3 linked regions of the Lonchura striata genome follow. The protein of the gene in region 1 purifies or fractionates together with the protein of each later gene. This does not show direct contact. Links are inferred from orthologs where the notes say so. Each region holds a gene or a part of one and is shown in the gene's direction. Other genes may lie near its edges.

What was found. The genes of interacting proteins can lie anywhere in the genome.
Region 2: the proteins of MYCBP (region 1) and OTUD4 purify together in Homo sapiens (co-immunoprecipitation; 3 studies listed by BioGRID and IntAct, with this or other methods). This does not show direct contact. The link is inferred for Lonchura striata from reciprocal best matches to the Homo sapiens genes MYCBP and OTUD4.
Region 3: the proteins of MYCBP (region 1) and ARFGEF2 purify together in Homo sapiens (co-immunoprecipitation; 4 studies listed by BioGRID and IntAct, with this or other methods). This does not show direct contact. The link is inferred for Lonchura striata from reciprocal best matches to the Homo sapiens genes MYCBP and ARFGEF2.

Annotation. Positions count from the first base shown.
Region 1 is NC_134628.1:5,085,696-5,093,648, reverse strand, and holds the start of MYCBP (C-Myc-binding protein), read left to right. Parts: upstream 1-4,942; 5' UTR 4,943-5,004; coding exon 5,005-5,019; intron 5,020-5,218; coding exon 5,219-5,291; intron 5,292-7,540; coding exon 7,541-7,589; intron 7,590-7,953. Other genes in the region: GJA9 (gap junction alpha-9 protein), read left to right, coding at 1-1,419. UniProt on the Homo sapiens protein: May control the transcriptional activity of MYC. Stimulates the activation of E box-dependent transcription by MYC.
Region 2 is NC_134606.1:62,009,729-62,017,640, reverse strand, and holds the start of OTUD4 (OTU domain-containing protein 4), read left to right. Parts: upstream 1-4,903; 5' UTR 4,904-5,026; coding exon 5,027-5,185; intron 5,186-6,712; coding exon 6,713-6,796; intron 6,797-7,912.
Region 3 is NC_134619.1:557,782-565,791, forward strand, and holds the start of ARFGEF2 (brefeldin A-inhibited guanine nucleotide-exchange protein 2), read left to right. Parts: upstream 1-5,001; 5' UTR 5,002-5,119; coding exon 5,120-5,258; intron 5,259-8,010. UniProt on the Homo sapiens protein: Promotes guanine-nucleotide exchange on ARF1 and ARF3 and to a lower extent on ARF5 and ARF6. Promotes the activation of ARF1/ARF5/ARF6 through replacement of GDP with GTP. Involved in the regulation of Golgi vesicular transport.

The DNA of each region.
Region 1 (7,953 bases):
GTGGCAACCGAGGATGTTTGGAATGATGAACAATCAGAATTTATATGCAATACTGAGCAGCCTGGTTGCAGAAATGTGTGCTATGATGAGGCCTTTCCCATCTCTCTCATAAGATACTGGGTTTTGCAGGTCATATTTGTGTCTTCCCCTTCTTTGGTGTATATGGGTCATGCCTTATACAGACTAAGAGCATTGGAAAAAGAGAGGCAAAAAAAGAAAGCTCAGGTAAGGGTGGAACTTGAAAGCACTGAATTAGAAATGACTGAAAATCGTAAAAGACTGGAGAGAGAGCTCCGGCAATTGGATCAAAGAAAGCTAAACAAAGCACCCCTAAGAGGCTCTTTGCTCTGCACTTATGTCATACATATTTTCACAAGATCTGCAGTGGAAGTTGGCTTTATGATTGGGCAGTATCTTCTTTATGGTTTTCACTTAGATCCTCTTTATAAATGTCAGAGAGACCCATGTCCAAACACAGTTGACTGCTTTGTATCTAGACCAACAGAAAAGACAGTGTTTATATTATTTATGCAATCAATAGCAACTGTATCATTGCTTTTAAATATTCTAGAAATTATCCACTTAGGATTCCGGAAAATTAAAATGGGACTCTGTGAGCAGAATAAAAACAAAGATGACTCTGACCATTTCTACATAAACAAATCTAAGAAATATTCTGCGATACCACACTCTTCCTTGGGAATATCCACCACCCCTCAGAAAACACTTCCTTGTGCTCTTAGCAGTTATACCTTTTTGATGGAAAAGCAAACTGACACTATGCTCTACCCAGTTTTAAATTCTCCTTCTATGTTTCAGTCTGTGCAAAATAACCGTGCAGAAAGCAGCAGCAATTACACCCATTGCAATCAGGAAAATAAATCTCCAAAGAAGAGGCCAGCTACAAATGCTTTAGACAATCAGACTCAAAATGCTAGCACAAATAATAACGAAGGCTTTCTTGGTGAGCTTTGGACTGAGACACATGATGCACAAGAAGAGGCTGAAAAGAAACATTTTCTTGTTGATACTCAGAATGCAGATACTGCCTCAAACATGTACTTGAGAAGCTTTGCTGAGTTGCCAGGTCAAACTTCATTGCAACCTGGTACAACTTTTCCTAATGCCGGTTTTAGACGACAGACAATGGTTGAGGACACAGGAGCACTAACAAATTCTCTTCCAAAGAACAGGGACAGAAGACAGAGCAGTTTCAGTGTAAACAAAGCCCAAATTCCTTACAATGCTGATGGAAAAAATTCCAGCCGACCAGACACTTCTGATTCCATGGGGGTGGTGAGCTCAGAATCTACACAAAGCAGAAATTGGAATAGTCCTAAGCTTTTGTCTCTGTCTAGGCAACAGTCACTGTCAAGTAATGCCAGCAGTAGGCGTGCCCCCACTGATCTTCAAATATAGTGTGAGTTAACCCATTAGCTGCACTACCCAGTGCTGGGATAATTCCTGAACAGAGACATAACCCAGACCTACGTGTAAGTGCAGCTAAATAATTCAACTTTAGCCAGCTGTTTACATAGCTGTGTAACCCTTTGAATAGTAGCTAAGTAATTTTAAACAGTTTCTTTACTTCTTTTGTAATGAAAATGTGGCATAGATCTCAGTGTATAAACTTCTACATTCCAGCTAAAAAGGAAAACATACATCCTCTCAGCCCACATATTAGGAAAAAGGCATAAAATCACAGCTGGTACTATTAAAACCGAATAAAAGTAGGAGACAAAATTTACAGTCTAACAATATTTTTACAAAGACCAGTAAATCAAATTAGGTTAAAGATACTCTCAAAAGAATTTATTGGTAAACATGTCTCTGCCTAATCAGTGTGAGAATTCAAACAGACACTTGGTAGCTGACCAAAAGCAGAATGTCAAACTTATTCCACAGTTCAAGCTGTTGTAAATACAAAGAAAAAAAGCATTTGCAAAACAGATCACTAATTTGTTGGCTCCATGGTACTTTTTTTCAGTGTATCACCACTGACTACCTCAGCAGAAAAATCAAAGTGAATTTCTAATAGTATACTGTCAGAATTCAATACACCGCTATTTTTTTTAAACATCAGGAATTCCAGACATGTTGTGAGCTTTACTTTTGACATTTTTCATAACACTAATAAGATAGCAAAATCAGAAAACAATTTACTGAAATTTACTAATCAGACATTTTGATTTTCACAAACCAGAAGGTTTACTATGGAAAACAGAAAAAAAACTCCAAAAACAGAGAACCAAAAAAAGCAAATATGGTAGTACCTTCCTGATTTGAGTTACAATGTCAAAAGACATATAAAAGGTTTATCAAAGAGTAAAACTAGTCATTTTCTGTTTGTGTCTCCCCTGAATACTGATAAGCTTTTAAATCAAACAAAGGTCCTACCTGTTTAGGAGGAGCATTTGTGTTTATGCTTTTAATGGGGATAACAAAACATTAGGACATTTATCCACTTGCTGTTCAGGTCCATATGGTGTAAAGGAAGTTCCATGAAACATCTTGAAATTATAAAGGGGGCAAAGATGAACAAAATACTATGGTACATTTGTAATCAAGCTTTCCATGTATGGAATACATTTATTTGAGGTGCACAGCACTGAAACACTGTAAATACTTGGTGAGGTGGTCACAGCTGAAATGCATTAGTATTTTTTGTGTGTATTTCTTACTAGCAGATATGACATACTGTTCATCTGTTGAAAAAAATAATCTGTGAGATATAACATAATGATGTTACAGCACAATGAAATTCTTAAAGTGCACTGTCATTATACTTACCAACCAGCCATGTTTCAGATTGCCTGAAAACTGTACAATACTAGCAAAAAAGAAGCCAGAAAACCTAAACTGCTATTTTGCTTGTAGCAGCATTAAAGAAATACACATGAGAACTATTAAAACTATTTGCTGTAGGTTTCTTTCCTTTTCACTTCTATGTGTATACATAAATACATAATTGTGTTTACACTGTAAAATTTAAGGTCGTATACTATACTGGAACATACATAACTGTAATAGTGTGACTTAGGCAAGTTCATGCTGCTGCTGTGGCTTTGATTCTTGCATTTCTTGATGTGTAAAATCCTGTGGGCAATAACTGCTAATGCTTGTTTTGCATTTAATCTCTCCATAATAAAAAGCCTCATATTTAATGCACTCTGTTCCTGCTGTCTAAATAACAGAAAGTTAGCATTTAGATGTTCATGTATGGGACATGACATCTGTATTTTTGTTGTTCAAGACAAGTTAGAAATGAATTTTTCTGCTGCAGTGAGAGGAATTTTATTAACTTTTTTATGCCTGGATATGAGTCAGACATTTTGTTTAATCACAGCACCTTCCCAAATGAAGAGTAACCACTGAAAACTGCAAACATTGTGGAAGAGCATGGAAAAAAAGCATGAAAACTCCCTAACGTCATATGTGCAAGATCATTTGGTTGGTCTTTTTCTTTTAATTTTTAAAAATTTCTACAATAAATAGATTTTATCTGTCAGCGTTTCAGAAAAATAATCAGGTGTAACAGTTTCTTTTCTTTTTTTTTTTTTTTTTAAACAGGCTAGGGCAAAAGACTTTCGTCGCGAAGATTTCACCACTCTTCAATGCCTCACAGACCCTCTGCAGCCGCTGCTGGCTGCAACTTTCTCCTGTGATTTCAGTCAGCTGCAGCTACTGAAATGTATTAATCAGACACTTTGAATTTCACAAACCCGAAGGCTTACTATGAAAACCAGAAAGAACTCCAGCGACCCGCAGGACAGCTCCGCCCGGACCCCGCGGCGCGGCCCCGCTCGCCTTCTCCGCGGGGAGCTGAGCTGAGCCCCGGAACCGTCCCCGGCCAGGGGAGCAGGGCAGAGCGGGAGAGGAGGCAGGGCCGCGCAAGAAAGGGGGCACGACGCCGGGCTCGGCTTCCCCTCGGGCGGCAGCGGACGGCGAGGCCGCCCCGAGGCGGGCGAGGCCGCGCCGAGGGGAGCGGACCGCGCTGAGGGGAGCGCGGCCCCGCTGGGGGGAGCGGACCGCGCTGGGGGGAGCGGACCGCGCTGAGGGGAGCGCGGCCCCGCTGGGGGGAGCGGACCGCGCTGAGGGGAGCGGACCGCGCTGAGGGGAGCGCGGCCCCGCTGAGGGGAGCGCGGCCCCGCCGAGGAGAGCGCGGCCCCGCCGAGGAGAGCGCGGCCCCGCCGAGGAGAGCGCGGCCCCGCTGAGGGGAGCGCGGGCGGCGCTGAGGGGAGCGGACCGCGCTGAGGGGAGCGGACCGCGCTGAGGGGAGCGCGGGGGGCGCCGAGGGGAGCGGACCGCGCTGAGGGGAGCGCGGGGGGCGCCGAGGGGAGCGGACCGCGCTGAGGGGAGCGCGGGGGGCGCCGAGGGGAGCGCGGCCGCCCCGAGGAGAGCGCGGCCCCGCCGAGGGGAGCGGACCGCGCTGAGGGGAGCGCGGGCGGCGCCGAGGGGAGCGGAACGCGCTGAGGGGAGCGCGGCCCCGCTGAGGGGAGCGCGGCCCCGCTGAGGGGAGCGGACCGCGCTGAGGGGAGCGCGGCCCCGCTGAGGGGAGCGGACCGAGCTGAGGGGAGCGGACCGCGCTGAGGGGAGCGCGGCCCCGCTGAGGGGAGCGCGGGCGGTGCCGAGGGGAGCGCGGGCGGCGCTGAGGGGAGCGCGGCCCCGCCGAGGGGAGCGGACCGCGCTGAGGGGAGCGCGGCCCTGCCGAGGGGAGCGGACCGCGCCGAGGGGAGCGCGGCCGCCCCGAGGGGAGTGCGGCCCCGCCGAGGAGAGCGCGGCCGCTGAGGGGAGCGCGGGCGGCGCGCGGGCCCGGCGCGGCCGCTGAGGGGAGCGCGGGCGGCGCTGAGGGGAGCGCGGCCCCGCTGAGGGGAGCGCGGGCGGCGCGCGGGCCCGGCGCTGCCGCTGCCGCGGCGCCGTCGCCGTGGCAACCGCGGGGAAGCGCTCGCGCCGTTAAAGCGCAGGGCGCAGGCGCGCGGCCGGGGCAGGCGCCGTGCGGCTCAGATGGCGCACCACAAGGTAGGGGGGAGCGCGCCGGCGTGGGCGCGGTGCCGCTCTCCGTGCCGGCTGCGCGGAGCGGCGGGCCGCCGGCCGACCCCGGCTCGGCCCTTCGTGCCGCCTCTGCGGCGGAGAGCGGGACCGGCCTGTGCTAAAGGGCCGCCTCCGCAGTCGAGGCGGGGCGCGCCGCCGATCTGACCGTGTGGGCGTCCTCCCTCAGGCCGCGGACTCCAAGCGGGAGCAGTTCCGCCAGTACTTGGAGAAGTCGGGAGTGCTGGACATGCTCACCAAGGGTAAGTGTCCGGCTCGCGGCCGGCGGGCGCGCTCCGGGGCGTTGCGGGCGGGTGCCGTTCCTCGTTCCTCTCAGGCTGTCCCGCTCCCGCCCGGCAGCGTCTCGGCCGTCCCTCGGGCTGCCCCGCCGCTCTCCATGGGCTTCGCGCCTCGCCTCGCCGATCGCTTTTTCTCCTCAGTCCGGCGAGGCGGCCGGCAGAAGAACTCGCCTGGAGAACTTGGTGCGGCGTGGCCAGGAAATGGAGTCCGAGGTGCGCGGCGAGGCGGCGCACGCCGGGAGAGGGCAGCGGGCGCTGGGACCGGCCCTGCCCCGCACGCTCCCCGCGCGGGCGGCCGCTGCTGGAGGTGCGTGTAGAACGGCAAGGCTGCTCCTTTCCCCCAGTGTGTGCTGGAGACCTCTTCCTTCGGCCGAAGTGCTACTTTCAATGCGTGCCTTTGGGTCGTTTATTTTCTTTCAATGGGCGCTTTTTGTGAGGTTTTTCTACAGAGGAAGTCAGTGCTTGAGATGAAATAACAGCAAATGTTATTTTAAAAGAACTTTGTTTCATACCTTTTCTTGGATGGCACTGTTATGTGTAGTAAATATAATTCGCGCCATTCCTTGTATGAAATATGTAATATTAGATACTTGTTAGATTATGCCCGTTGTATTAGTTCCCCCCCTTTGCAGGTGAGACTGGGTGTATATTGGAAACTGATTTACAAGTGGCTCGGCCAGGAGATGGGCCATGGCTGGGCTCCAGGTGTTGATCATCGGTGCTGATCATCGCATGAATGGCCCGAGGTGGATATCATAGAAATCCTCAGACAGATCCATGTGAATGCAGCCTTCCCGTAAAATCTCATCAGGGATTCACCTACTTCGGACATTGAATTATTTCTCCTCATTACCAAAAAAAGAAAATCTTATTAACCTATGGACTCTGAATAGAAGAAAATCTTGGCCTCAGGCAGAATTTTCCCTATAAAAAACCGCTTGTGCCAGGATGGAGGTGTGTGGGCATAGGGGAGAACCTCTGCTGAGGCTGACTCCTTGTGGCACACCCAGGGCCAACCCCAGGCTCGGCTCTGTTCTTTCCTTGTGGCTGGCTAGATAGAATTTGACCGCTAATAAAAATTATTTTTATTTTTTAATCTGGCTGAATAAATTCTCATTTATAACAGCACTTAGTGCTTTTTTTTCTAGAATGAATGACACTAAGTTCTGGATTAATGACTCTCCATATCAAACTGGAGAAAATGATGATGCTCAACTTGACATGTGTGACTTAGTATTTTTGAAATCCTCCTAAAATCTTTTTGAGAACCTTCTAGTAGTATGTGGCAAAAAATGTGTTAATAATGAAAAAATTAATATTCTGCTAATATTGAAAATATGCTGTTTAAAGAGGGAGCAGCAGATCTAGGATGTCAAGTAAATAGCTGCTGCACTAAGACTCTTGGCCTGGTGTGTGAGTACCATTTGATTTTTCAATCGCAGTGCCATCCTATGGGATGGCAAAACAAATCTTCCAAGCAGTGAGGCAGACTAATTTTGCTTTTAACTTAGGAAGTACTTAGCTTAAAACCAGTTTGGCTGTGTAGCTCAAGACTTCTGAAACTGGCACATGGCCCCTGTGGGGAAGCAGGGAGTGGTTGTGATTGGGAACTTCCTGGGTGTTCATGTGACAGTCTCCCGTTATGTTGCTATGTAAATGGCTATTTTTATTTAAATTGTCGGGGTATTGCTGCTTTTCTCTGGCGGTTTTGGCCATTAGAGTCCCTACCCGTAAAAATTATCAGTGTCACCTAGCCGTGTAGTAGCTGTTTAGTTTTGTAACTGTAGATTATCAATGGAGGTTTGCTCTTCTGCTGGAAGTTACAAATCTGCTGATGTCTTGTGGTTTAAAGATGTAGCTTAAGTACAAGTTTTATGAACAATATAGTTAGAATTTCAGTCTTACTGGTAAAAGCTAGTACTAGGGTGCATGTGGCATATGTAAATTTTTTTTCAGGATGTTTTATGTTCTGTGCTAGAACAGCCAGAACACAATGTGGGGTTAGGGATCAAGAAAATTCTCTTTAGCTGTTACTAGGTGGAATGCTCTGTCCCCTCTGATACAGCAGACCTGTTGCCTATGTCAAAGTGTGCAAGTGAAAATCTTGTTAAATGGACAAATACAACATGTATGCTTTCTGACTGCTGATATGTGTTTAAAAAACTTAGAGTTGCATGAATTTCTTGCAATTGTTGAATATTTTCTATTTGCAGTGTTGGTAGCCTTATATGAAGAGCCAGAGAAACCAGATAGTGCACTGGAGTATCCTTTTCCTTTGCTGTGACTTATTTATTGAGACTTTATGCACAATATTGCTTCTGACTCATGGGTGGACTGGATGGATTCATTTCGATGCCTTGCATTGAGAACGTGACTTTTTTCAATGCATTTTACCTAATGATTGCATTTTCACAAGCTAAGAGAGTCTGACAGGATGCCAGAGGGCTGGGATTTCAGTATGCCAGCAATTATGAAGCTAAGTTATTGGCCATTTCAGTGTTGTAGACCTGCAGCTTTAGATCTGAGTACCTGCAGTGGCAATGGGTTCTGAAGTTTGCTTCTTCACACTTCCTTTTTTTGTTGTTTTTTATTTGTTTTTAAATACATGAAGAAGGGGGGGAACTAG
Region 2 (7,912 bases), on another chromosome or scaffold:
TGTCCTGGTTTTGGCTGGGATGGAGTTCATTTTTTTTTTTTTTTCAAGTAGTTGGTACAGTGCTCTGTTTTGGATACAGTATGAGAAAAATACTCTGATGTTTTGCTCGTTGCTAAGTAGTGCTTACCCTTAGTCAAGGACTTTTCAGTGTCTCATGCTCTGCCAGTGAGGGAGAAGTGCATGAAAAGCTGGGAGGGAGCATGGCCGGGACAGCTGACTCACAGAATCATGGAACGGTTTGGGCTGGAAGGAGTTCCAGTTCCAGCACCTCTGCCACAGGCAGGGACACCTTCCACTAGATGAGGTTGCCCAGAGTCCCATCAAACACGGCCTTGAACAATTCCAGGGATGGGGCATCCACACCTTCTTCTGGAGAACTTGTGCCAATGCCTCACCATCCCCAGAGTAAAGAATTTCTTCCTACTGTCTAATATAAACCTACCCTCTTTCAGTTTAAAGCCATGTCCCCTTGTTCTCTTGCTACAGGCCCTTGTAAAAAATCCCTCTGCAGCTCTCTTGTAGCCCCTCTTAGGTACTGAATGGCTACAGGCAAGGTCTCCCCAGCACTTTCTCCAGACTGAAAAACCCAATCCTGTCAGCCTGTCTTCAAAGGAGAGGTGCTCTAATCCTCTGAGTATGTCCATGGTCCTCCTCTGGACTTGCTCCCACAATTTCTCACGCTGGGGACCCCAGAGCTGATGCAGGACTGCAGGTGGGTTCTCACCAGAGCAGAGCAGAGTAGCAGAATTCCCTCCCTTGCCCTGCTGGCCATGCTGCTATTGAGTTCCCATCCTGCATAAGCTTTTTAGTCAGGGAAAAAAAAAAAAAAAATCGAATTTCTATTTGCTGCACATTTGCTCACTCTTCTCACAACCTTCCCACTACTTCTTTACAAACATCTCACACGTTTCTTCATGTCTGCTAGAGCATTTCCGAGGAAGAGCAACGGAATATGAGAATGCACTCTCTGTATATGGTTACATTTCAGAAACACACACAATTACTGTGGTAGCACGCACGAACCGAGGGCGTAATTCAGCAACTTCTCCTTCTGGCAGCACAACCAGCTGTGGAAGTCCCCTCCAACCCGTGTCTCTCTGGGGCGTCCCCTCCGACCTCTGTGGCGTGATCCCTGCGGCCAGCGTGACGCGGGGTGTCCCCTGTGCTATCCCAACCTATTCCCCGGGCTGCCACCTCACTAAGAAGAACACTGCCCCGTCAGGAACACGCTTAGAAACGCTTCGCGCTGCGCCGCACAGGCGGAGCGGGGCGCTCAGCCGGGCTGCACAGCCGAGGGAAGCGCTGGCACATGGCAATTCCCGCCCCTCGCTGGGACCTGCTGGGTGAGGGGAAGGAAAGGTTCCTCGGCTGTACCACTGCGGGCTTTACGGGTGAGGACGACATGAGGCCACTGCCGCTCGCCTCGGCACCATCCGGCTCCTCCGAGCCGACCAGGGCCGGACCCAACGCAGCATCCCAGCGCTACATCCGGCTCGCTGCCCCGGCGCCCGGGCGCTCTCCCCAGCCTCCTCTTCCCCCGCTTCGGCGCCCCCCCGCGCGGTGAATGGTGCGAGCCGCAGGTGTGGCCGGCGGGACAAACCAACAGCGGGCGGGGGGGGATCGGCGCGGCGGGAGGGCGGGACGGGACGGGGCTGGCAGCGGGTGCATCCGCAGGAGCGAAGCGGGCGGAGCGGCCGCCGCGGGAGATTGAAGTGCCGAGGCCGCGGCGGGGCGAGGAGCGTCAGTGCTGCCGGCACTGCCAGCGTCGCCCGCGGGGAGGAGAATAGGAGGAGGGGGCCGGTAAGTGCCATGGGCCGGCGGCAGCGGGAGTGCGGCCCCGGCGGCGGCGGTGCCGGTGCCGGAGCGGCGGGCGGGGCACGGCGGGGCAGCGGCCGCGGCTCGGGGGCCGCCCCTGCCCGGGTGCCTGTCCCCGGCCTGCCCCGCCGGGCCGCCCGTGCCCGAGCTGCGGTGGGAGAGGGCGCGTGGCGAACCGGGAAAGGGCGCGCGAGGCCGGCGAGCACCGGGCTGCTCTCCCCAAGGTTGCTGGCCCAGGTGTTGGGACAGGCAGGCCGTGACCTGGATCACAAAACCAATCTTGGTTTAAAGATAAAGTTAGATCTATTTTTTTTTCTTCCCTGAAAAGAATTTTTTTCGGCTTGAGTCAGCTTCCTGGGCTGATTCAGGGTAGGGGCAGTGAGAGGAGAAACTCGTGGCTGGAGCTGATGCACGTGGTATAAGTGCTGGGCGAAAGTGTTAATAAAGCTGCCGGCTAATTAGAACATCTGCATTAACTCTAATTAGAGCATATGTAGGAACTGTAGTTAGAACATCTGTAATAACTCGTGAATTATAATTTGGTCATTCTTATCTTAATGGAGCATTTATTGTAATGCTGAGGTGTTTCAGGTGCCTTTGGTGGATGCATTTCTCCTTGAGCCTTAGCAAGTATGTGTACAGAGTAGATTTCTTCATTGAGAACTAAAAATCTTTAGAAATTGATTCATTCTTGTATAGTAGCACTTGGAAAAAACTGTGGGTGATCATCACTTGGTCAGCTTCAGGGGCTGATTGCAGGAGGAACAGGATTTTAGAACACTGACAACTAGACGACTTTAATGCTCTAATTTGCTGTGTATTCACTTATCAGAATCACATTTACATCCTGTCACATACTGAATGGCCTGGTGTGTATAGGCATTCTTGAGTCTAACAGATGTGATGAAAGGCATTTGCCCTTCCCCTCACCAGCCTTTAGAATCACAATGACAAAAGGCTGAAATATATGAGAAGACAGATTTGTTAAATATTAGAGCACAGTTCTGCCTTTAAACATGACAAATAGAGTGAGGAAAAAATTGGATATTCCTAAGAAACTCTGTAACTGGACACCAGTATGATATGTCTCAAAAGTATCTTTCCAAATTATTTTTCCCTACAGAAGAAGTAGCTCTCACATGCAGGACTGCTGCCCTGAGTTCCTTGAGTGAGTGTGGTAGCTGAGTCAGTGGCAGCAACTGTTTATAGTTCAGCCTTGTTAGATGAGGTTTCCCATCTTCTGGGGAGAAGCTGGAGCTTTCCCTCCAGCCCCTTGCTGGTATTTTTATCCTCTTCCGTGTCTAAAACGTCGATCCTTGTGCTGCCTCACTGTGTCTTGGAGGCTTGACTGCGGGTAGAGCTTTGCTTTCACTTCTTTCACTTTCTGTTCTCCTTGTCTACAGATACAGAGATATGAGGAACTGGCATTTGTTTCTTATTCCTTTCTGGCAAACCTGAGCTTCTGTTAGAGACGGTGTGGTGCTGGTGGAGCACTAGACTTGGGTTGGCTTGTAACTTGTGTTTATTTAATAAGTTACTTATTATTACCTAAGGATCTCAAGTCACCACCCTCCCTAGGCTTACTACTATCAGCTGAAAGTAATAATCAGGGTTTCTGTTCAAGTTGCCTTACAAGTTTGAAGAGCATCCTTCCTTGTCACATTTTTGCATCAAAACCTTCTAAATCCTGTTTATAATGCCAAGCAAAATTTAATCATGCGGTTGTGATACAAATGTTTAGGCTTCTTACAACTAGGAGTGGCATGCAAAAAACCTAATACATTAGGAGTATTGAAAGGCAGTGGCTTTTTAAAATCCCATTTTCAATCAAGCCCTCTTTTACTCTCTCAGTTTTATTTTCATCTTCTTTCCTGCAAGTGGATGGAGTTAAAAAATAATCTTACAATCTCATCTGTTGGGGGGAAACCCCAAACCAAATAAAACCTACCTAGACACAGATACTGCACATACTGTGGATTAGATATCAGACAGAATCATAGAACGTTAAGGGGTTGGAATGGACCTTAAAGATCATCTAGTCCCAACTCCACTTCCCTGTGAAAGGACACCTCTCACTAGACCAGGTTGCTCAAGGCCTTGTCCAACCTGGCCTTGGACACTTCCAGGGATGGGGCATTCACAGCTTCTGTGGGCAACATGCTCCAGTGTCTCACTACTCTTACAGTAGAGAATTTCTTCCTAATATCTAACATAAATTTCCACCCTGTGAGTTTGAGTCTGTTATTTCTTGTCCCATCACAGTTCCGAGTCCTTCTGCTTCCTTTTAGGTTTCCTTCAGATACTGGAAGCTTGTTGTTTGTTTTCCATGCAGCTTTCTCTTCTCCAGGCAGAACAGCCCAAACTTTCTCAGCCTGTCTTTGTAGGGGAGGTGCTCCAGTCTCATTATCAACTTCGTGGCCTCCTCTGAACTTGCTCCAACAGTTCCATGTTGTTGTGCTGGGAGCACCAGAGCTGGGCACTATATTCCAGGTGGAGTCTCAGCAGAGGGCAACAGAAGGGGAGAGAGTCCCCCCCACCTTGCCCTGCTGCCCACGCTGCTTTGGATTGAGCCCGGTTACATCTGGCTTTGTGGGCTGCGAGCGCACACTGCCGGCTTATGCCGAGTTTTCCACCAGCCACTCCCGCGGTGTTGGTTCTAAGAAGCAATGGAATGATCCTGACCGGGAGCAAGGCTGACAGCCCGGCCCCGGGCGCTGTGTCCGCCTCCTCCTGCTTCCTCCTCCTCCTCCGGGACTACGGCTCCCAGCAGCGCCCGGGCTGAAAGTGAAAATAAGCGCCAGGTTACGCTCCTGTTTGCGCCCTCCGCCTCTCTCCCTCCCGGCGGGCCGCACGTGTCCTTCCTTTCCCTTTTGTTTTCCGCCCGCAGGCCGGCCGTGCGCCCGGGACGCGCCCGCTCCCCGCGCACCGGGACCCGCCGGAGCTGCCCCCGGCCCTCCGCAGCGGCCGGGCAGCCGCGGGTCCGGGCCGCGCAGGAAACTTCGCCGCTTCTCTCCGCGCTCCCCACATGCGAGTGGACAAGGCGAAGCCGGCTGCCGCTCTTCCTGCCGCTCCCGTTCCTGCTCCTGCGGCTGCCGGCGGGCCAGCGCTGCCCCCCGCTCCGGCTGTTGCACCTGTGCCCGGCCCCGGAGCTGCGCCGAGGCTTCTCCTCGCCATGTGGGACTAGGAGGGTGCGGCGGTCTCCTCGGTGAGCATGGATGCGGCGGGCAGGGCCGGCGGAGGGGAGCAGAGCCACCCCGGCAGCGACGCTCCCGGGGACACGTCCATGGACCGCTACCTGCGATCTCAGGGCTTGTACAGGAAGAAAGTGGCCAAGGATGGCTCCTGCCTTTTCAGGGCTGTGGCCGAGCAGGTAACTGGTTACATAAACAAAGCTCCTTCTCACGAAAGCATGGGAAGCGGATCTCATTAGTGGGTGGTAATTAGTGTTAAAACGCAGACAGGTATAGGTTAGGGTTGTGCAGTCATGTGCCAGTGAGAAACGTGACTTTATAAAAATAATTTCCACCTTGCGAGGTGAGAGAAGTTACGGGTGTTCAGCTGCCTCCTGCCACCAAGAAATCCTTATCTGTTTTGACCTTCCACCGCCTCCTCAGAGCTTTTTTCAGTGTAAGATCTCAACATCGAAATACAACTGCTGGGTATGAGATTGTCTAGGAAAAGGAATTTAGAGCTGAAAAGACACGTTCTTAGTTTTGTTAATTAGTTGACTGTAAAATTAGAGAAAGTGAGTAATTTATTTTCTGTTCTTCCTGTTGAATTCCCCTCCCCCATTTCAGTGTTAATGTTAAAGGAAAAAAAGCGACAGCGTCATCTTGTCTTAAGTACAAGCAAACAGCAGTGGGAGCTCTGGTGCTTCTGATTGTGGGAACCCAGATTCCTGTGCTAATTATACACAGATCACTTAAAAAAAAAAAATTCCTTTCCCCACTGAATTGATAAGTTCAGGCAAGCAAACACTATTCATTGGAAGTGGGTGGGGGTTTTTGTCTCAAGAGAATATATATATATAAAATATATATTGCTATTCTGACTTTTTAATTAATACTTAGAAAGTTTCTCTCACACTTCTGTGTTCATAAAACTTATTTCAGCTATTATGTTTTTAACATCCCAATCTTATTATGGAATCATTTAGGTTGGAAATGACCTCTAAGAAAGTAAGGTCTTTAATTCAGAGTTATTAAGTGTTTATCTGCAAATTTGGTCTCATTTGTGTTCTCTTCATTCATAAAAACTGAATTTGGAAGTGATTTATTTTAAGGGTGGTTTGTAAGGACTGCAAGAGACACTGCAGCTTAAATTGTCTGGGACTTCTCTAGGTTGTACTGAGATAACTTGTAACATGTGATGAAAATTATAGTTTTCCAGTAGAGATTTGAATGGGAGGTAGATAGGTGTCATATTCAGGGAACTGAATTCCTGGCTTCCAAAAAAGTGTTTGGCCAACACGCCTCTTGAGGAGAAGGTAAACATGCACTGTGAGACTTGGTTGGATTTTGTTTGAATGAATGCATGTTGGTAGGCTTCCTCATCCATTCCTGCTGTAACTTCCTTCAATTAACTGAAGTCCTTTACAAAGGAGGCAGTTAAAGATTAACAATAAATGATATTCATTTGCTTTGTAAATCCTCATAAAATTGAAGGTTTGAATTTAGCAAACCTGTGAATTCTGCAGTTACTTAATTTTTTATTAAGTAATTGAGGTTTGACTTGCCTGAAGATGTTGCTGCTGAATGAGTATGCATATTAAATATTCTTAAAAATAAAGCTAGAGTATTTCCAAGCCTGTATTTAGACAGCAGTCATTAATTATTTGTGGCCTGTCATCAAAACTCCTGAGATCCAATGTCACCTTGTTCTCTTTCTCCCTTTGTAGGTGTTGCACTCTCAGTCTCGACACATTGATGTTAGGATGGCTTGTGTAGACTATCTTCGGAAAAATAGGGAGAAATTTGAAGCAGTAAGTATTTTTGTTTTCTTTGTCAGCATTTAAGAAAAGTTACTTTATTCCTTCCACTTTGGTATATTCTGCACTTCCCTGTGTTTGTGGCAGTATTCATTGTAGCTAAATACCAGTTGGTGCTATTTAAGTTAATTAGCAGATATGTGGTAGTAACTCATTTTCCAAAGCCTGGAGAGGCTTGTCTACTTCATGGACTGGAGTGATGTGGGAGAAGTTTTGAATGCTTATGAAGAAAGAAAAGCAAACTTAATCTTCAATAGTCTATACTGAAGCTACTATAATCAGGATTTTAGTTCAGTGTAATGCCTGCTTTTAGTAAAGTAATAAAATGTTCTTGCTGTGCTAATTAATTGCTTTTCCAGTATATAAGGGATTTAACTGAGATTAGTGAAATTTTTTTCAGGGTCTGCAGTTTATTATGCATTGGCACTGTAGGTTTTTTTTTCCCTGAACATCTGTAACTAATCTTTTCATCAACCATGGATGCAAAATATTTTGATATTCATTATAGTTGGTCAATGCTGTTGGTGTTTACATTACAGATTACTTTTTTTTCCTTCCTTTTAAAAGCACATTGATCAATAATGGTGCTTCTGTTTGTATGGGTTCTAGTGTATATACTGTTACCTGATTTCCAGGACAGAAATAGTTGAGACAGGGGAGTCTCAAGGGAGAGTGAGTATGGGAGGATTTGTTACTAGAAGATTATTACACTTTTTTTCTGTTCTAAATTTACCCAGACCCAAAATACAAAGACTGTTTTATGTATGCGCTGGCATAGGGAAGAGAAGGAAGGTAGGAATAAAGGTGTGTCTTTGTGCTGTAATTTCTGACATAGTACCCCCTCAGCTCTAATATGAGTGATCACATAAATGTGGAAGTTATCAGGAATTAGTGATATAAAATACAGCAGATCTCTCTGGGACGGTGCTGCTCTGACTTGACTCCTTCTGGTTGTTTCTAACTCTTGGATGTCTCTCTTCTTACTTCATTTTCTCACTGCTGACTTTTTAATCCCTTTCTAGAATTACCCTGCTCATTCCAATATCTGCTTCTCTACTTCTGTTCTCTTGTTCCATTGTGTAGTGTTGTGAAATTCCATGCCCTTTTTGA
Region 3 (8,010 bases), on another chromosome or scaffold:
TGAGTAAGGTCTATACTGTATGATAAAGCTAGGGACATTTCTTGATGGCACTCTGAGTTTCTTACAAGAAATTATGAGAAATAAAGATCAGATTAAAGGTTAGAGAGAAGGTCACATCATTTTAATTCCTCAAAGAGCTACTCATCTCTTCTGACTGAAGTTATCCTGATAGAAACCCACTACAATTGAAAACCAGGATCTTCTGTAGCTTAGTATTCCATTTCCTTTGTTTTTACTGAGTACAAGGTTTGTGTCAACAAAATCTGCCTCATTATACACTTGCCTAAGTGAAAAGCAGAGTGCTGTGCAAAGTAGGCTCTTCTGTGCACAGACACAATGTGAACAGCCAGGTCTGTGCCATTCAAATATACACAACTCCAACTAGCACTTGCTTCTGTGGCAAGTAAAGTCTCATTATCACCTCTCAGACAGGAAATTTGGAAGTGAGTGATTATCTAGCCCCAGGTCTTCCACCTCTCCAGCACCCCAGGGTGTGGGAGCTACTCAATTTCATTTGCATCTTTCCAAACAATTACACTTCTTGCTCTGCAGGCAAAAGCAGGAGTTGGCAAAAATATTTTCCCCAAATGCTCCTTCTCTCTGGCTGCTATCCTTTAAAAATAAATGCACTTTTGCTTTTTTCAAAACACGTTGTTTCTAATGTTTCTCTGTATGTAGGTAATTGCAGACTTTTGATATGGTTCTAAACACTGTAAAAGGAAAACAGAAAATTTCAAGCCTATGTTAAGCTATTAAAATGACTGTGTTTAGGGCTGCTGCTCATCAGAAACACACTCTGCTACCAGTGAGAGCAGTGGCTGTTCAGTAATATGGGCCACAAAGGCAATAATTTTTGAATATGTGAACACTTTGATTTAAGTCTGACCTTCAGATTCTGTTGCATCTCTGCTTGTCTGAACACTGTTATATTCCTTACCATCCTCTTATGGTTACATATTATTTGATCCCATAACAAGGAACAGAGGCTGCAGTTCAGCATCGAAGGGTCTTTGTCTGCTTCTGTCCAGTACACGTGATTTATTGTGATACCTTCATGTGAGTCTGGTACCACAGCGGATCTCAGGATTGGCTCCTTCTGCCAGGACAAGTGAAAAAAAATCTCTAACTTGGTGTTTATTGAAAGGTCAACAAAAAAAAAAATTAATTTAACAAAATTATTGTGTGGGATAAATATCTACTTTCTTTGGACAGGCTGCCGATTCTTTGAAATGTGAAAAAAATGAAAACTGCAGATTTGGGGTATTGCCAAAGTATGTATTCCAGATTTTTTAATAAGAAAGTTCAAGTTCTCTTTTGAGAGAGAGAGAACTGCAAATCTGATCTATTCTGATGGCTTTATAAGGAAAGAAGAATTTAATTTGTATTTACTTAAAATTGTATAAATCTCACTTATTTGAAATACTGCTATTATCCTTTGTAACTTACTTCAAGGTAAAATATTGGGTTAAAAAGTAAATCCCAGCAGTGAGCAGGTTTGAAAGCCAGTGGTGGCTGCAGCACCGCAGGGCTGGCAGTGGTGCAGGTCTGTCAACGGTGCAGGGCTGGCAGCGGTGCAGGTCTGGCAGCGGTGCAGGGCTGTCAATGGTGCAGGTCTGGCAGCGGCGCAGGGTTGGGAGTGGTGCAGGGCTGGGAGCAGTGCAGGGCTGGGAGCGATGCAGTGCAGGGCTGTGATGCAGGGCTGGCAGTGATGCAGGGCTGTGATGCAGGGCTGGCAGTGGTGCAGGTCTGTCAACGGTGCAGGGCTGGCAGCGGTGCAGGTCTGGCAGCGGTGCAGGTCTGGCAGCGGTGCAGGGCTGGCTGTGGTGCAGGGCTGGCAGCGGTGCAGGGCTGGCAGTGATGCAGGGCTGTCAGCGGTGCAGGGCTGGCAGCGGTGCAGGGTTGGGAGTGGTGCAGGGCTGGGAGCAGTGCAGGGCTGGGAGCGATGCAGTGCAGGGCTGTGATGCAGGGCTGGCAGTGATGCAGGGCTGTCAGCGGTGCAGGGCTGGCTGTGGTGCAGGGCTGGCTGCAGCAGCTCCTGCCCAGCCTGGCCCAGCTCGGTGGACAAGCAGCTCCAGTGCCTCTCCTGCCAAGTGATTTTTCTTTTCATCTCATGACATTACACAGTGCTGTTTAGATATATTGTCTGTCCTTTTCTCACATTACAGGGCTTCTCTGGCTGGAGTGCAAGGTCTGTGTGAGCCTGCTGGCAGTAAGATGGTCAGAAGACACAGAAGGTCTCAGACTGGGATTTGAAGAAAATAGTGGGAGTGAAAGGGAGAGCATTGTCTATACACATCATGGTGAAATGCCTCGCTAATATCACAGAAATACTTGAATAATTACTCACTTAATAGTTATCTCAATTATATTGCTAGCAGTGGAAGAGCGCTTTACTATGTGGATTTACTGATTTTAGAGCATGCAGTGTTGAACTGGAAAAAATTAGAGAGTTGAGACAGTGAATCAAATGATGATACCCCCCCGGGGAAATCCACAAATAAGTACATTACTGGACAGCAGGAAAAGTGGCTGGAAGCCAGGCAGAATAAATAGGATCAGTCCCAAAGGAAATTATTAAAAATAGGCAGAAGTAAAAGAAGTTCTATGCTAATGCTGGACTGGGAACCAAGCTACTATACAGACCAGTACTGGTTTTCCAAGAATTTCCCATTTCCAAGAATGTCCTTTCTGCATCTATTTTTAGACTGTGGTTTCCTTCCTAAAACAAGCTATGTAGCAACATGCCAGTGGGAAAGTGCTGCGAGGTTAGTCCTGTGAGTCAGTACAGAGCACCTGGCCTCTGGGCAGAAATCCAGAGCAGCTTCTTGCCAAGGAAGTAGCTTGTACAAATTGAACTCTGTCCACCTGTTCGGCATTGTTTGCTCATGATTTATGTCTCGCACTACAGACGTATTTGCCACAATGAGCTATTTACAGCAGTTTAATAGTAATCGTTGGAATTGGCATGGAACGCACTGGCAAGCACATGCATGAGATACGTGTATTTCTTCCCCCTTGCTCTGCCTCCTCTCCCACTGAAAGGCTTTCTTTCTTTGTCTGCAGCCAGCGGCACACATCACGCAGCTCCGCTCTGCAGCACGGTGCTGCGCTCAGCAGCAGCACTGCACTGGCTATGCTGCTCTTGAATTAGCCAAATGACTCACATTCTTCCCTCAAAATCAGCTACTGTAATCTTTAAAATACTCTGAGGAAAAGAATCTTTGAAACTAGTCGTAAGAATGACATCAAGGCCATTATTCTTCCACTGAGTTTAGTTCTCCGTGACGGCAGCGTAAGGAGAGCACTGTGTGCGGAGCAGGCCTCTTGGACTTCAGGACGGTCTGTCTCTCGTGGTGGAGACATCGTGTGGGCTGGGAGACACTGAGGCATTATGCCATGTGCTGGAAGCCCAGGTGCATTTGGTGTTCAGGTAAAAGAAGCCCTTGGCTATAACCAAACTTCAGCTAGGGGAGCATGCCACGCAGCAGCTCTGCGTTCTTCATCTGCCGCTGGCATCAGAGCTCGCTGAAAAACCGAGGCCTGCTACTGGCTCTTGGCTCTTTGAAATCCAAACCACAACCCCAGTGTAGCCCTACACCTATGAATTCAGATAGTACTCTGTGATTTCAAAAACAGGGGGCTTACCTGATAGAAAATTTTTTAAAATCTCCGTTAAACCATCTGTTCAATCTGTTTTCTAAAAACTAGCCTGTATCCATTTGCTTCTCTCCTGAGAACTAATCCTGTCCCACGATAAAAACCCTAAAATCAGAACTGATAATTTGGCTGACAATATGTGAAGAGCTCTGCTGCTTAATTAGTTCTGCAATGCTGCTGACAGTAATTACAGCCTCCTTTTGTGTCAATAACTAAGTCAGCAACTCTCAAAAAAGATTCAGGGCCTTGTTTGTCTTTTAGTAATGTCACTTTTGCATCACTGTAATTTCAGTGATAACAGTAAAATTACCCTTAATGTGCAGTAGAGTAAGTGAAAGGAACATCTAGATGTATACCTTGGGGGTTGGGTTTGCAGTCACATTTTTGATTTTAAAAATATGTGTCAAAAATTACAAGCACTGGTCAATTTTCCCTGGGAAATAATACTAAACTGATGCTTTGCACAGGTGTTTGGAGCTTTTGTTAGTGGTTTTGGGGACAAGAATTGCAGCTCTTGACAAAGCAACACTGAAGATTTATTGATGTCATTTTACAGAGTTAGAGTCCTGCTGTTTGAGAAAAAGGAAGCAAAACTGCAATCTGGAGAACTGAATGTGCTCCTGTATTCCCCATTAGATGTGGCCATCTGAATTTGAAGGAGACCTTTGTGGAATTTCATGGAAGAGCTGTCTGTGCACAGTGATGGTTAGCAGAACAAGGAGGGTGCAATGGAGGAAATACGGATTCTTGCCACATGGTGCTGATGGAGTAAATATGGTTTATTGCTGCACGGTGCCAATAGGGTAAATATGGATTGTTGCCATATGGTGCCAATGGAGTAAATACAGATTATTGCCCATGGCTACCGGCTTTGGAGCCCCGAACCGGGTTTCAGCTGTGAGGTGCTTTACCTAGGCAAAGGGGAAAGGGAGAAGATTCAATTAGGTATAAGGTTATTTATTAACAGAGAGTTCATAGCTGTGACTGAAAATTTCATTTTTAGTGAGTCCTCATTAGTGTACGACTTGGCTTTTTTAGATGTGCTCTCTCTGCATGCCTCGTTACAGGACTGTGTGAGAGTTAACAGGGATAATGCGAATGGCGAGATACTTAGGTCAGAAGCATTATAAACCCGACTATTCCCCCAACGCGACAGTAAATCACATCCCGGGCAGTAATTGACAGCTTCCCTCGGGCCTGGCCGGGCCCGCCCCTCAGGCAGGCCCCGCCCTCGGCCCCGCCCCGCCCCTCAGGCTGGCCCGCCCCGCCCCTCAGGCAGGCCCCGCCCTCTGCCCCGCCCTCGGCCCCGCCCCCGGCACGCGCGGCCCCGCGGGCGGGGTCAGGGCCGGCCGCATCACGTGACGGTGTCAAGATGGCGGCGCCGTGGCGCGGCCGCTGAGGGAGGCGCGTCCCTTCCGGGTGGTGTCGCGGGCCCGGTGCTCGTCCCGCTCCCGGCCCCGTCATGCAGCCACCGGCTCACGAGCAGGACGCCCGCACCAAGAGCATGTTCGTGTCGCGGGCGCTGGAGAAGATCCTGGCGGAGAAGGAGGCGAAGCGGCCCCCGCACGGGCAGCTGCGGACCGCCTGCCAGGTGGCGCTGGGTGAGTCGGCCCGGCCCGGCCCGGCCCGGCCCGCACGGGGCACGGCGGTGAAGGGGCCCGGCCCTCCGCACGTGTCCCCTCCGCCTGCCGTCCCGGGAGGTGCGGGAGAGCCTCTCGGGACCTTGGGGCGGAGGGAGAGCTCTCTCTCCAGTACAGGACGTGCAAATACGCGGGGAAAAACCCCAAATACCCGTTTTATTAAGTTCTGGTCTCGGTGTGAAACAGGAGGGACTTGGTTTTGAGAGCCACTTCGGTTTTGAGAAAATTAATTGTAACTTTTCGACTAGGAAACAAGAGTTTTTAAGTCCCGGAGCTTCTCGGGATGTCAGATATGACCTGATCTCCAGGTTGTGTTCGGACTGATTAAGGACTGTTAGCATTGTAACCAAATGCCCGTATAATATCTGTGATGTTTTCAGAGCTGAAATCGCTTTTTGTGAAATTTGTGGACTGCTCCTGAAATCTGCAAGTACAAGCTTATGCAAAGATCTCTGTGGTAAAAGTTCTGACAAAACGGTGTGTCACAGAGAGGGAGAAGATAAACCAAGTAGAACAGTAGAGCTCTGAAGCTGGAGCTCTCTCTGGCCCTTTCTTAATTTGCAAAAATGACATTTTCAGTTTTGGTTGCATCCCATCAATATTTTCCTTGGAATTGGGAACATTTAGTGTATGCAAGACAGAAAAAAGACAGGTTGGGTATGTAAGGAGGCTGGGCAGGTGCAGGTCTGGCCTGGACAGAGTGAGCTTAAAGAAATGCTGTCATTTTTATCTTCCTCCCAGCAGTCTTTACTGCCAGGAGATCTGTAGGAGCTCTCTGTAGTGACAGTATATCCAGAGAAGGGTAACCAGACAGAAGAGTATTTGAATTATTACTTGAAGTTGGCATTGTGAGCAGCAGAGCAACACATATGCCCCAGCAGCTAGGGTCTGTTTTTCCTAATGAGTTCCTTTTCCTGATCTCCTCCCCAGCTGCCCCCACACGCACTGAACCCACGTACAGGGCAGAGAACCTGTTTTGCTGCTATATAAACATATTTAGAGGCTGAGAAGGGGAACTTCCTTCTCAGGTGCCTGGTGAAGGTCTGTGTTTGCTGAGGCACTGCAGACGATGATTTTGAGAGGAGTGTTGTGCAATGGCCCCTGTTGGCACCTGCCACTGGGGCTGTGGCTGTGCCTGCATGTTCTGAGGTTGTGTGTTGGAGGGGAGATAATGCTTGTCATGGTGCATGTAACAAACTTGCTTTGAAAAGGAGCCCATGGACTTTTCTGGACTAAAGCAGAGGTCAGCATAAAGAGATAACCTTCTGTTGACCAACGGTTAGGGGCCTGGATGACTGTATGGGAGGATCTCTGTTATATTTGGTGAATATTACTTGATCATTATAGGTTGCCAATAGGAATGGGGATTCTTTTATTTACATGTGATTTTTTTTCCCCAAACTTTGTTCTATTTTGGTTAAGCCTTTTTTTTTTTTTTTCTTAAATGAAAAAATCTGTTTTATTTCCATATACTTAATTTTAATTAAGCATATAATTTGTATTAACTGAGACTATGACAATTCCAAAAGTGTCCACTTAATTTTCAAGCTCTGTGCAATAGTAAATATGTGAGGAAATGTGGCAAGAATGTTACTGGCAGAGTGAAGAATTCAGGCCAAACTTTGTAACCTACAGAGGCTGTCATGGATGAAAGAAGCTTCAGTATTATGAATAATAATAAAAAGTGCAGTTAACACTGAATAAAAATAATTCTGTTTGAAAGAAATGTAGTTACTTTTTGAAAGAGGTCATTGTGTCAGCTGCACTTTTCTCCAAGTTATACTTAGAATAATCCATTTCTACTTCTTACTAAATCCCTTTTGCTGTGCAGTCTTCTCTATGCCATGGTGTTTTTATTCAAGCCTTGTGGCATTGTGCCAATTATAAACCAGGAACACAGGCATGGAGCATGTGTAGCTGATATCTGCTCCTGGGACTAGGAAAGTCTAAGATGAATTTTTTTTTTCCCAAACAGGGAGAAACTGGTGTATTCTACAGCTGCCTAATAGAAATGAGCCAGTTTTTATGGCTTCTGCTATGGTGTTACTGCAGTAATGTTTCTATTACTTACCTATGCTTTACATTTGTTGTTTGGTGAGAGAGAAAAGTTTCTATGAGAATACTTGTTTTCTTACATGACTTGTGTATTGGTTTGTACATATAACTCCTAAGAATTTAAGTAAATTACTACTGAATGTTGCTGTCTCTCTTGTGTAGAGGTATTATCTAATTCTTATTTTAATCTGCTTTAATTTTTCTAAATTTAAAATCTTCTCACCCTTTTTTCCCCTGTAATTCGGTCCTTTCACTGGACTAATACTGATCAGTTTTGGACTACAGAATACACATGACCTTGTAGAAATCAGAAGAACATAGGTAGGTGCGAGTAGGACAGAAATGCACAGTATGCAAGTATGGAGGAAATGGAGCAAAACCACTTCACAGTGGTGGTGTTTTGGGTTCTTTGCTTCTTTTCATGCCTTCCTTTGAAATAGACAGCATTAATGTTAAGTAAGCAGAGTTTGAATAGATTCTTTCATTCAGTCTCTTGCTTCATCAGTAGGTGTAACGGTTGTCTCTTGTCTCCTCTAGTTGTAGTGCCAGTAAACCCCAGGAGAGAGTGGGAGAAATGGAGGGTTTTAAACAGAGAAGCTGTTCTGCTCTGCTTTAGAAAACTGTGTTTGAAAGAAAATTTGTTTTCAACAGACCATTG